Daphnia pulex: one gene and its partner. The protein of the gene in region 2 interacts with the protein of the main gene of each other region in a biochemical or structural test. Links are inferred from orthologs where the notes say so. Each region holds a gene or a part of one and is shown on either strand. Other genes may lie near its edges.

Region 1 (5,768 bases), on a different chromosome or scaffold from region 2:
AAGAATGGCCTAATACAATACAATATACAATACAATATGTTAATACTTTAGTGAATAATACATAATTCCGGTGAGCAGACGACGTCAGACTCTGTTGAAATTGAATCAAACAGTTTTCAGACTTTCAGTCTTTCCAAATTCTAAATTTATCTAACTGAAAAAAAAACAGACATCAAAACCATTGAAATGTTCAAGTATAGTTATCTGTGTGACTTGTAAGTTATATTTATGAAAAAACATTACCTTGGGGCAGAATCCTTTACTTAACAAGCAAAATTTAACTTTCAGGTTTGGTGAAAAACATCCAGCCTTGACCATATGCCCTAGTAAGTATAAATATTGATTTAATAAATGGATATTTAAAAATATATATAATTAATGCTTTAATACTTACAGAGGCAGAGTTATTGGAGGACTCCCTTTCTGATCATGACTATCCAGACTCAGATAGTCCATTTCTCACAATTCCAAAAAAAAAAAAGAAGAATGGCCTAATACAATACAATATACAATACAATATGTTAATACTTTTTTAGTGAATAATACATAATTCCGGTGAGCAGACGACGTCAGACTCTGTTGAAATTGAATCAAACAGTTTTCAGACTTTCAGTCTTTCCAAATTCTAAATTTATCTAACTGAAAAAGAAACAGACATCAAAAACATTGAAATGTTCAAGTATAGTTATCTGTGTGACTTGTAAGTTATATTTATGAAAAAACATTACCTTGGGGCAGAATCCTTTACTTAACAAGCAAAATTTAACTTTCAGGTTTGGTGAAAAACATCCAGCCTTGACCATATGCCCTAGTAAGTATAAATATTGATTTAATAAATGGTTATTTAAAAAAATATATAATTAATGCTTTAATACTTACAGAGGCAGAGTTATTGGAGGACTCCCTTTCTGATCATGACTATCCAGACTCAGATAGTCCATTTCTCACAATTCCACGAAACAAGAAATAAGAATGGCCTAATACAATACAATATACAATACAATATGTTAATACTTTAGTGAATAATACATAATTCCGGTGAGCAGACGACGTCAGACTCTGTTGAAATTGAATCAAACAGTTTTCAGACTTTCAGTCTTTCCAAATTCTAAATTTATCTAACTGAAAAAAAAACAGACATCAAAAACATTGAAATGTTCAAGTATAGTTATCTGTGTGACTTGTAAGTTATATTTATGAAAAAACATTACCTTGGGGCAGAATCCTTTACTTAACAAGCAAAATTTAACTTTCAGGTTTGGTGAAAAACATCCAGCCTTGACCATATGCCCTAGTAAGTATAAATATTGATTTAATAAATGGTTATTTAAAAATATATATAATTAATGCTTTAATACTTACAGAGGCAGAGTTATTGGAGGACTCCCTTTCTGATCATGACTATCCAGACTCAGATAGTCCATTTCTCACAATTCCACGAAACAAGAAATAAGAATGGCCTAATACAATACAATATACAATACAATATGTTAATACTTTAGTGAATAATACATAATTCCGGTGAGCAGACGACGTCAGACTCTGTTGAAATTGAATCAAACAGTTTTCAGACTTTCAGTCTTTCCAAATTCTAAATTTATCTAACTGAAAAAAAACAGACATCAAAAACATTGAAATGTTCAAGTATAGTTATCTGTGTGACTTGTAAGTTATATTTATGAAAAAACATTACCTTGGGGCAGAATCCTTTACTTAACAAGCAAAATTTAACTTTCAGGTTTGGTGAAAAACATCCAGCCTTGACCATATGCCCTAGTAAGTATAAATATTGATTTAATAAATGGTTATTTAAAAATATATATAATTAATGCTTTAATACTTACAGAGGCAGAGTTATTGGAGGACTCCCTTTCTGATCATGACTATCCAGACTCAGATAGTCCATTTCTCACAATTCCAAAAAAAAAAAAATAAGAATGGCCTAATACAATACAATATACAATACAATATGTTAATACTTTAGTGAAAAATACATAATTCCTTACCTAAAATTTAAAGAAGACATATTGTTTGATTGTTTTACTGACTACGATCCTGAAGACCAAGAACTAGAAGTGGAGGATGAGGAGCCTTGGTTCACGTAAAAATAAACCGTAATTAAACTTGTACTTTCAATAAATAAAACTAATTAATACCTTATTTTTAATTGTAGCTGAAATCATACTGTCAGCTAATGAGAGAAAAAAGGACGACAGCAATTCTGGTAAGTAAAATGCCTATGTGAAAAAAACAAACAAACATTAATAATTAAATTAAAACGAAAAAATAAAATGTATATATTAACTTACAGATGAAAACGAAACTGATGTAGATGATGTCGTTTTACCTACACCCAAAAGGAAGAGAAACGTCCAACCTAAGAAAGATAGGAAGAGGGCTGCAAAAGCTGTGAAAAGGGCCAAAAACGAAGAGGCAAACGAGGCTCCAAGCCACGCAGAAGAGCAGACTTCCACATCTTATTCTAAAGAAATGTCGAAGTTATCGAAGCTCTTCAATGATCATTTCTCCTGCTCTGAATAACTATTCAAAAGATTGCACGATAGTTTGTACAAAATTGTAAAAACAAGTTCAAATATTTCCACATGTCCCAAGTGATTTTATGTGAATACAAGTGAAATTCTCTCATAATAGACTAATTTAAAAAGAAAATGAGCTGAACTGAACACTACATTCATATTAGAATGATGGATCCTCATTCTGAGCAAAAGCAAGAGTCTTTCAAAGCGATCAATCTGTGTTTGCCTCTGTGTTAGCCCTCACAACAGTGTTGCGCGATTTGTTTAATTCAATCGTGCAACACTGTAGACTAGTGGGGGCTTTATTCATAGGGAAAAGGGTGTCACATAAAACTTTTTTTTCCTACACCCGAATTTGTAAGCAAAATTAAGTAAACATTCAAGGGACATGGGGAAGGGCGAAGGGCTATATAAAATTACAGTATAAAATCTAAAAATCCATATGAATTATGAATTACATGTACCCGAAAATGCGTGTGTGAAGCACGTAATCGGTAGGGAAAAGGAAAATGAGTGATATCCACTGGATACCGTACCACCTGACCTCTACCGGCATGCAGAAGCATCGCCTGTGGAGGGTTATAGGGGAGTTCAGTCTTTCCTTTGTAGTCTATGGTTTCGCAATGCCGTAAAAAAATTCCAATTGAAATGCCAATTTGCTTAGCACTTACCGGAATACTAAATTTCGTAAGATGTATCCTTTTTCCTTTGCAAAGGAAGTCGGGTATTCGGACCGATTGGATTTCATACATTCATTTAAACGAAAGGTGTCCTCCTTACCTATAAACCAAGAAGTGCCAGGCGGATACAGCAAGCATCATTATTTGTGATCAATCGTTTTTTACCAAGAACCGAGGAAAAACACTTGCAAATATTACAAATTCATCAATATTTTTATTTGAATAAAAATTGGAAACAATTCTGTCAATATTCAATAATATCCTCCCCCCTCCCGGTTGGTTCACACAAAATTACATTTAAAAAAAAACAATATTTTTACTACAATCGCCAGAATATTGCTAATCATTTTGACGGGTTTTTAGTACATGTTGGTTGATAAATTGAACTTACATTTTTTTTACTACGGCCGGCTTCCAAAAAACGAATCTATCGTCCTTGAGCGCTTGCTATCCTTGGCTGCCTTCTTCTGGTTCTTCAACGGCCTCTTCGACGATTTTTTCTCGGCTGTCTGGACTTTCGAATTGTTGGCCAATGAAGAAGTAGAAGGCTGGGCAGAAAATTCCTTTTGCAATTCGGACGCCAAATGGAAATCTTTGTGTTCTTCGATTTCTTCTCGGAGAAATTGTTGTTTGCACTTGTCACATACAACGAATTTATCATTTCCATAACTACCTTTCCTAGCCTCGATTGCTTGTAAAACTTGGCGCTGTAGATGAAGCGGGAGTAGAGCTAGGGTATCCATATCAACTTGATTTAAATCTGGAAATAGTTCTTCAACGGAGAATGACTCTTGAAGACCCACCATTTTCAGGGCTGCTGGTTCAGGAACAGATTCTTTAGCTGATTGTATTGGAGTGTTTTTGTCAAGGCAACGAGAAGCAAAAAACCCAGTTTTTTTCACTATTCCACAGTTATCTTGATTGGAAATAGGCATTGAACTCATTTCTCTATGGACTGATACAGGCTCTGCTTCAGTGCACTCTGAAGCAGAGTCGGCTGTATTTGGTTCTGGTGCCGTAATACTTTCTTCTTCAATATCCAAGATTCTTTCAGTTTCTACAAATTCATTTTCTTCATCCTCCTGATCAGTACTGTTTTCGTTTAGATCATCGTTTTCATGCAATGCTTCCTGTTCTGCATAGGGTTCTTTTTCCTTGTTGGTTTCAGCACTATTTTTAGTGACAAAAAAGCGATCGATCCTGGAATTATTTTCCAGTTGATCAACAAACTTGCTAGCTGAAACTCCAAGGCAGGTAACAACCACTGGAACTCTAGTGTTGCCTTGTTTGAAACAAGGATTTTCTTTACTAATAACTGCCAAGCAAGCGTTCGCCATGTGCATTTTTTCGTATGAAGAAGTCAGAGGAATTGAACGAGTATAAGAGTACGGTCGTATATCGCCTTCTAATCGAACCGTCAGAGTTAATAGTTTTGCCGTTCTATTATTCTAAAAAAATAAATTTTCAAGGGAAAATATGTTATGCCAACACACGAAAAAGAGGTACAAGAGTGATGGGATTTACCGTTTCCCGGTCTTTCTCGAGTCGCTCAGAAACTTCAGCACATAACTCTTCTAGCCAATGGCTTATTTTCTCCCGAGAATCTAGTGCAGCTAAACCAGTGAAATTTTTATTACAGCCTATGGACTTGGGCAGTCTGCGGGAGCTGACCGACTCATGATCCACTCCTCGGGCGTACCAGTAAAGCCACGTGCTGAAAGACAAAGATTTCAATAAATATGAGAGGCATTTAAAGATGAAAGCGAGAAAACTTACCCCGTCTTACTATCAAAACGTTCCTGCAAGACCCGCTCGGGAATTTTTACGATATCTGCCATAGTAGTACAATGGAACTCTTCTCGTAGAACAAGACCAAGTTTACCACCAAGATTTCTAACTTTCTTTAAAGGGAACGTCGTAAAAAATTCCTCAACGGAACGAAAAGGCAAAACGGTTTGCTTGTTGGGCTTGTTGATGCCTATAGGAAAAAAAAAAGTCATTTTGAAGGCTCATAATAAAAAAAAAGAAAAGAAATAAGAGCATACCACAAGCTAGTTTCGCCAACATTTTATTGTTGGAAATCCCAGCAGAACAACGAAATCCGGTTTTTTCATAAACAGCAGCGCGCATCTTTTCAACCAAAATAGCACCATATGTTAATTTCCAGTCATTATCGTTGCAATTTCCTTCCGATAACGCTTGTAACCACCCGTGTACACCTACGAATTTATAGGAAATATTGTAGTAATAGAACTAGAGCATGTAAAATAATGACCGACCTTTTACATCATCTGTGTCGTTCCCCCATCCAACAAAGTAAGTGTTTGGAAGCTCTTCAAGATCGATCGCAGTGGCTATATTAGTAAAAGTAGGACATTGACAAAGTGAATGACGAATTTCATCAAGCTGAATTTTACTTTCAACCAACCTGTGGAATCTGAAAGCATTTTATCTATAACCGCGGTCATGTCTATGTATGCTTCATCAATACTGGCGCGCTCTACGACGACACCAAAGCTGCACATCACATCAATGACTTCTTTTCCTCCAT
Region 2 (6,917 bases):
AGTGTCGGCGTAGATCCAGGGAGATTACCTGGAAATGGAAGAAGAGAGAAGAGTGCGAGGCAAGTTTTACTGGGGAGCGATTAGTCATACTAGGCTTCCGGGTTAGACTCATGACCCTTTAAAAGTTTTCGTCGGATCATATGCCTTCCAAGTCCCCGTTCGACCAGAGCCCTCCCCTCCTCCTGGTTTCACAGCGGGTGAGTGACCAACGGCGGACGTTGGTTAGTGGTTAGTTAGGGAAACGGGACCACAGAAAAGAAGGGAGCCCAGAAATGCACTTGTAATTTAATCTAACTACACAATTCATCAGTCTTGGATTACAGCATTCTCTCGTGGGTTTTCAGTTTCACCAATGGAGTCCATGATTAGTAGCGAAGGATTACCCTGTAAGCAGAATGAACATTGATTCGGATGACAATAATTTTCAATAAGATTGTAGCGACAAATAGCAATACCTCAAATCAAGAGGGACTGTGTAAGGAGCTAAATAGGGAGATTCAAGGGTAGCAGCCATTGAGTTAGCAAACAAGGGACCTTGTTGACTTCATTGAAAGAACATTACTTTTCATAAAGTCTGTCATGCAAATTTATGAACCTGAAGGTTAGAACCTGTAAATGAAAAAAAAAAAAACATTTAAAAAATAAGTAAAAGAATAATTAAACAGTTAAGTATATACTCACGCAATATTTTTCTCGCCAAAATCATCATCTCGTCCAAGGAAACGCCATCACACATCGCGAACAGCCAAAAATCTAAAGGGTAAAACTCCGTGCTGTGTTGAGTGTGAGAGTAGGGTAGTAGAAGCCGGTTGGGTAGTCGAATGATGCTGGCCGCCTAACCTAAATGATGTTCATGTAGGCCGCATCTTCTCGGTCATTATCTAAATGGGTAAATCAAGAAACAAAATGTAAACAAAATTTTAATTCAGTGACATGACAATGAAGTTACACAGGTAACAACAATCAGCTTTCCTAAGCAATCCAGAAGATGGAATGAGTCAAGTTCGATGACAAAACGAATGATCCGCGTTGAACGTGTGGTCATTGCCTTATTTTGGAGGGATAACCAGATACCCCACATTTGATCTTATAGGCAACATCTAAATAAGAAACCAAACAATCGTCAAAATTGCTATTAGTATGACAACTTCTCTAAATTCAATGTAAACACAACTTACAATGATGATAGCATGATCACAATATTTAACCTCTTTTTTTTGTTGTCTAAAAATAGGGAGATTCAAGGGTAGCAGCCAACAGGTTAGCAAACAAGGAATCTTGTTGACTGTAAGTCCTTTTTCTTGGAAAGACATAACTTCTCATAAAGTCAGTCATGCCAATTTAGAAACCTGTAAATAAAACAAAAATTCATGTTAGACTGTAATTAATAAAGTTCAGTAACATGACAAGTGAACTTATACATGAAACCACCAATCAGTTATCCAAAAATCCAAGATTCTCTAGAAGATGGAATGAGAGATTGGTCCATGCTGGAGTCGGTGATCTAGCAAGTTCAACAGAAACAGCCGATAATTAAGATTAATCCTAATAAAACATGAGAAGAATATATGTTTTAGCATTAAATAAAGCTAGTGTTGGTTTTTACCTGTATCATTTCGATGACACATTCAGTAGAATACAATGAGTTTGAACAAAATAGTTGACGGTAGGTTGCACGACTTTCACGTTTACTCTGACTGTGAGTAGATGAAAACCATTAAAGTTATCCAACATATACACGGAATAGAACACATCACCGACAAGTTACAGACGAAATCACTCGAGTTTACCTATGAATTCATTGGTAATTTTCAAAGCTAGCTTAACCTTCTTCATGGCTTAACGTTGACTGTTGACTCAGATGAAATCATTAACCTAGGTTACAAGCTGTTTTTTTTTTAGTTTGAATGGTCTGATTTCTCGGATTTCGTGGCAATAGATTTAACCTTTCACGTTCTGAGTGACAAAGAAGCGAAGAAAATCAAAATTTCGCGTTTTGGGGCAAGAAAAGGGAATTTTGTATGTAGTTCCATATTTCACCGCTAGTTGGCGTTGCGACGAAACTTTTTTTTTTTTACTTTTTTTTGTGATGGATTCGACGTGCCATATCATGCAGTGCGCTCTAGTGTCCAAAGACGCTATCGCACTCCGGTCTCCGGAGTATATGACTATGACATACACGCCCTGGGAACAATTTTTTCACGAACAATTTTTTTTTAGCGATCACTTTTTGATCGCTAAAGTTAAAGAACATTTTAATGATTGATCGCTAAATTTTTTTTATGAATTCGTTTTCTACTTGTGCCACCTATGAATTTATATGCTCAATTCGGGCAATAGCTGTCGTTAAATATTGTTCACTATTCTGCGCAACGTCACAGGCGCGCAATAGGTCGTTAATGGTTTGTTGTTTGTTTACAGAGGCATTTGCGTAGATTGATGAATTGGCTCTATTCAAACAAATCATCTACGCTAAGCGTGGTAGACAGAAAGCTAGGCCTTCCGCCATTAGACGCAATTAGACGTCGGGTGCAGGTGACGCGTTAAAAATTATTACACTAATTCATAACTCATGTAAAATTTTGCGTCTAGTCTACTGGAGCAAATCGCGATTCTCTACGTTTTTTAGTTTGAGGTATTAATTTGAAAAATAGTGGGTTGCCGAAAAATCGAACTAAATCCACTTTTACAGAACATTTTGAAGTGGTTTTAGCACACGAGAAAACTGATAACCAAGGTCAAACAAAATTATTTTTTAAATAGTACCAAGCATTAGTTTTTACCTACTAATGATTGCAACTGGATAATCCAAAAATAGAATTTTTTCGACTTTGGAGTTTGGATGTCAGTTATGAACTAACACCCCTTTAAAATTTTCTGAAAAAGGGGACTTAGTTCGATTCTATGGCAAACAACCATTTTTAAAAATTAATATCACATAAACAATCAAACGTAATAAGTCAAACAAAAGTAAAATTTTGTGGTAGGGAACGTACTGGCCGCCATCCGGGACCAAGTTGCGATCTTTTCGGTATCGACATGCCGTGTAATTAATTTTAGATTTAAACTTACCGCGAGTCTTCCTCCCCTGGTCAGGCAGCTATTATGAAAAATAAAACGTGAAACATTGGTGATGTCGCTAATAAACTCCAGCAGTGGTTGAAAGCCTTCCTCTGGGCTCTGGCTCTCCTCCCGGAGGGTATTTGTATTCCTAATCGTTCAGTTTAGTTCAGAGAAAATCTCGATTTTGGACGATTTTCAGTGTGCACATGAAATCGAACGTAAATTTAATGAGGATAACAAAAATCAGGTTCTTTTTGAATTCGACGTTCAATAATTACCGATAATTACCACGCTAGAGATAAATTAGCAAAAATTATGAAAATAAGCTGTGTTCCCAAACATACAAGCGTAAGTTTTCGTACCAAATTTATATTGTTTTAAAATGTAGTTGACGATGTTTTCGGAAGTAATCCTTGAAAACGCCAATACAGTTCTTATGCAGCAAAATTAAAAAAAAGTTTCAGTCAATAACATCGAATAACATTTAGCGGTATGTGAAATGTTAGGGTCTGCTAGTTTGCACACGTCTCGTATGAAGTGAAAGCAAGAAAGCAAATTTACATTAGAAATTGTTGGTTATTTACTTTTGTTCAGTAATAGAGTTCCAGAAAAGGATAAGTTGTATGATGTAAACCGTCACCATACATGTCCTGGAAACCGTCGACGGTGACATGCAACTAGAATGACAATTTCATTTTTTCATACATATACATGTAAACTAAACAACAATCGGCAAACTCGATGAATATTTATATAATATAAGATTTCTAAAATTGGTCGTTCAGCATTCTGTGTGGCCAAACCTCAAATTTCAAAATCTTTAAAAAAAAACTAAAAATGCCAGGATAGTAAGTATTCTAGAAAAAAACAACAACAACAAAACGGAAACAAAACGCCTCACTTACCTTAACGTTGGTTGTTGCTAATTACTAGACAAGATGGCCGAAAAGGTGTTTTGGTCTCGAAAGATAAGGAAGTGGCTAAAATTATATCCCATCCATGAAATAACATGTCTTTGTTGATCATTTATAGCTACTACAGAACACATTTTTACACTTTACGGAAGTACTGTAATAAGTTATTAGGTTTTTTGGTTGCGATTGGCTTCTTATTTTTCTCCCCAGCCAGCAGTTCCTTCTGGATCTCCACCGGGAGCTCGCGAAAAACTTGAGGATCGACACCTTTTGGACAATCAAAATCTGCTGACTGTTGGGAGGTGCTTGATGATGGTATTTGACACTTCATATCTTCTAAAACTTCTTGACGGATGTCATCAGGTAATTCTTGGAGGACAGATTCGTCAAAGCGTCCACGCTTAGTTGGAGGTGGCAAAGTTTCGTTCGGTCGCGATGAACTAGTAAAATATTTGTTGATGGAATTTTTCGCTGGGCTTTCGATGCCAGAGGGAAAACCAGAGAACGAAATACCCAACAATGTAACTTGCCACGATTCATCGCAATTTACTACCTTTTCGAAGAGATTCATTAGAGTCGTGATGACTTTTTTTTCTTGATTTTCACTTAACGGTCCTAATGGCGCGTTGCTAGGAACTCCAGTCGTAAGATCTATTGCAGTCTGGCGGGCCTCTCTGACACTGTGATTGGTCGCATGTAATTTCCGAACTGTCAATTTAACTTGACTTGGTCTACGGCCATCCTTCTCCACTAACTCCCAAACTCGATCTAGCAGGCACTTGAGCTTCTTGCGCACTTCAGTTTCACTTTTGATTGTAGGAAATCCATCTTCGGCTCCAATAGATTTCGGTCTGTCGGTTATTTTGACACGACTATCGTCGATCCCAAAACTCAGTTGTTGAATTTGGTTAGCTGTTTTGACTCCAAGTGCTTCAATAAGCTTAAACAAATCTGCTGCTTGAAGTTTTTCTATGGTGTCAATACCAAGAACCTCTAGTTTTCTGTTCATTGCTGAACCAATTCCAGGAATATTTCTAGGATGCTTCAATGATTTCATCAAGTTTAAAGATGATGCTGAGAACAAGGTGGTTTGCTGATTTGGTTTATGGGTTGCTCCAACCAATTTAGCTAGAAGCTTGTTACAAGCAATTCCAGCACAGGAGGTGATTCCAAGTTCACTTTTTAGTTGATTTCGCATTTCCTGAGCAATAATAGAACCTTCTTTTAGTCTGTCTGTACAACCACATGCACAAGTTTCATCACTGTTCTTTTCTTCGAAAATGTGTCCAGAAACTTCTGGTTTAATTTCAGGGGACTTGTTGATTTTGTGGGAAATGTCAATAAAATTTTCATCCAAGCCAAGTTTCTCCACAAATGGGCTGAACGATTGAAGAATTTGATAAATCTTCTCTGACATGTCTCTATACTTTTTCAAGTCCTCTCCATTTGCAAGTACTAAGGAAGGGCACTTTTCTAGTGCGGTCTTTATTGACATAAGTTTCTCAACACCCAGCGCTCTTGCTTCATAGTTACAGGTTACAACAATATTTTTCTGTTTGATACCAAGTGGTTTGCCACATAAAGATGGATTTAGAATCATTTCAACTTGGGCATAAAAACAGTCGATATCTATATGGATGATAACGCGTTCATGTTTTTCACTTGACTGAATGGCAACACTATTGTACGAGAAATCGTCACCTAAATCTTCTTCCTCCATTTCGGAAAGAGTAAGGAAAAAGTTTAAACAAACAATAACAATTCAACTACCGGCAAATGACAGCACTGTAGTGTCGTCTGCTTTGTTACTATGAGCCCGAAGCGCAAAGAAAATGAAAATTCATTATTTCAAAATATTTCATAAGCTAATTGATTATTTTCTGATTGAAATGAAGAAAACTTAAAAAATGAATTAGTGTTGTTTTAAAATATCACGAAATAATAAAGATAACCATATGAAAATGATCAAGTATTTCAGGCAACTATGCAGAAATTCATGACATTTGATTTTTACATGACACGCCAGCAAATTCTTTTCTTTCTGTCATTCGTTTTTTCTCCTTGTTGTCATTCTGTCAATTATTCACTATGACAAAATTGGTTGAATGGTTGGGTGGTGCAGGCTTGTTTGCTGGTGTTTGGGCTTACCTCTTTATCAGTACACCAGTTGGAAACTCTAGCGACTTTGCCCGGCATTTCGTTCTGTTCCTACCATTTTACGTATTACTCGCATTCGCAGTAAGTTTTGTTTTTATATGATATGGTGCGTATTATCTATAGCAATTTTTTCCCTCATTATTGCAGGTGATTTCTGTTTCAATAATTGCTTGGAGAGTCTACACATTTAATGACTGCGAGGAGGCTGCCAAAGAGCTAAAACAAGAGATAGTTGATGCCAAAGCTGACCTCATAAAAAAAGGATTCAAACTAGACTAAAACATGATACTCTTTTCCACTTTGTATTGACTGATTGCATTTTCCTCAAAATACACATTCCTCAAAATCTGAAAGTGTTTTGAGGACAGCTAAAATTGTTAGTGAGATTTGATAGTTCCATTTCTTAACACACTTCCATTAAAAGAAGTTTGTCAGACCTGCAAGACAAGACAATGTAATGTACACAGCTTTGGAATCCCCATAAGCATTAAAAAGCACTAATGAAACAACAAAATATTCTCTTACACTACAGTCCTCTTTGCTGTCAAGAGATGTGCAATGCACAGAAAAGTTAATTGTTTCTTCTATTTAAACAGATTTAAAAAGTGAAATGTTCAATATAGGAAAAGTCAGAAATTAGTTTCCACTGTAAGGCCTTGTCAAATGATTACAAAAACATAAAATTCATCACAAGAGTGTCAAGCAACCTTGTCATTCACACACTAAGGCAGTATTATCTGGTATCTATAGCTTTCATGCTACTTCCTTACTCTAAGAGATAAA

The links.
Region 1: the proteins of DNA polymerase iota-like (region 2) and DNA polymerase eta-like interact in far-western blotting, tested with the Homo sapiens proteins (2 studies listed by BioGRID). The link is inferred for Daphnia pulex from reciprocal best matches to the Homo sapiens genes POLI and POLH.

Annotation. Positions count from the first base shown.
Region 1 is NC_060027.1:5,021,635-5,027,402, forward strand, and holds part of DNA polymerase eta-like, read right to left. Parts: coding exon 5,646-5,768; intron 5,572-5,645; coding exon 5,497-5,571; intron 5,437-5,496; coding exon 5,263-5,436; intron 5,196-5,262; coding exon 4,994-5,195; intron 4,932-4,993; coding exon 4,742-4,931; intron 4,666-4,741; coding exon 3,619-4,665; 3' UTR 3,002-3,618; intron 2,542-3,001; 3' UTR 2,310-2,541; intron 2,238-2,309; 3' UTR 2,157-2,237; intron 2,092-2,156; 3' UTR 2,007-2,091; intron 1,943-2,006; 3' UTR 1,845-1,942; intron 1,777-1,844; exon of another isoform or gene 1,774-1,776; 3' UTR 1,694-1,773; intron 1,666-1,693; exon of another isoform or gene 1,606-1,665; 3' UTR 1,513-1,605; exon of another isoform or gene 1,461-1,512; 3' UTR 1,363-1,460; intron 1,295-1,362; exon of another isoform or gene 1,292-1,294; 3' UTR 1,212-1,291; intron 1,184-1,211; exon of another isoform or gene 1,123-1,183; 3' UTR 1,030-1,122; exon of another isoform or gene 978-1,029; 3' UTR 880-977; intron 812-879; exon of another isoform or gene 809-811; 3' UTR 729-808; intron 701-728; and 9 more. UniProt on the Homo sapiens protein: DNA polymerase specifically involved in the DNA repair by translesion synthesis (TLS). Due to low processivity on both damaged and normal DNA, cooperates with the heterotetrameric (REV3L, REV7, POLD2 and POLD3) POLZ complex for complete bypass of DNA lesions.
Region 2 is NC_060019.1:7,784,405-7,791,321, forward strand, and holds DNA polymerase iota-like, read right to left. Parts: upstream 5,772-6,917; 5' UTR 5,698-5,771; coding exon 4,114-5,697; 3' UTR 4,076-4,113; downstream 1-4,075. UniProt on the Homo sapiens protein: Error-prone DNA polymerase specifically involved in DNA repair. Plays an important role in translesion synthesis, where the normal high-fidelity DNA polymerases cannot proceed and DNA synthesis stalls. Favors Hoogsteen base-pairing in the active site.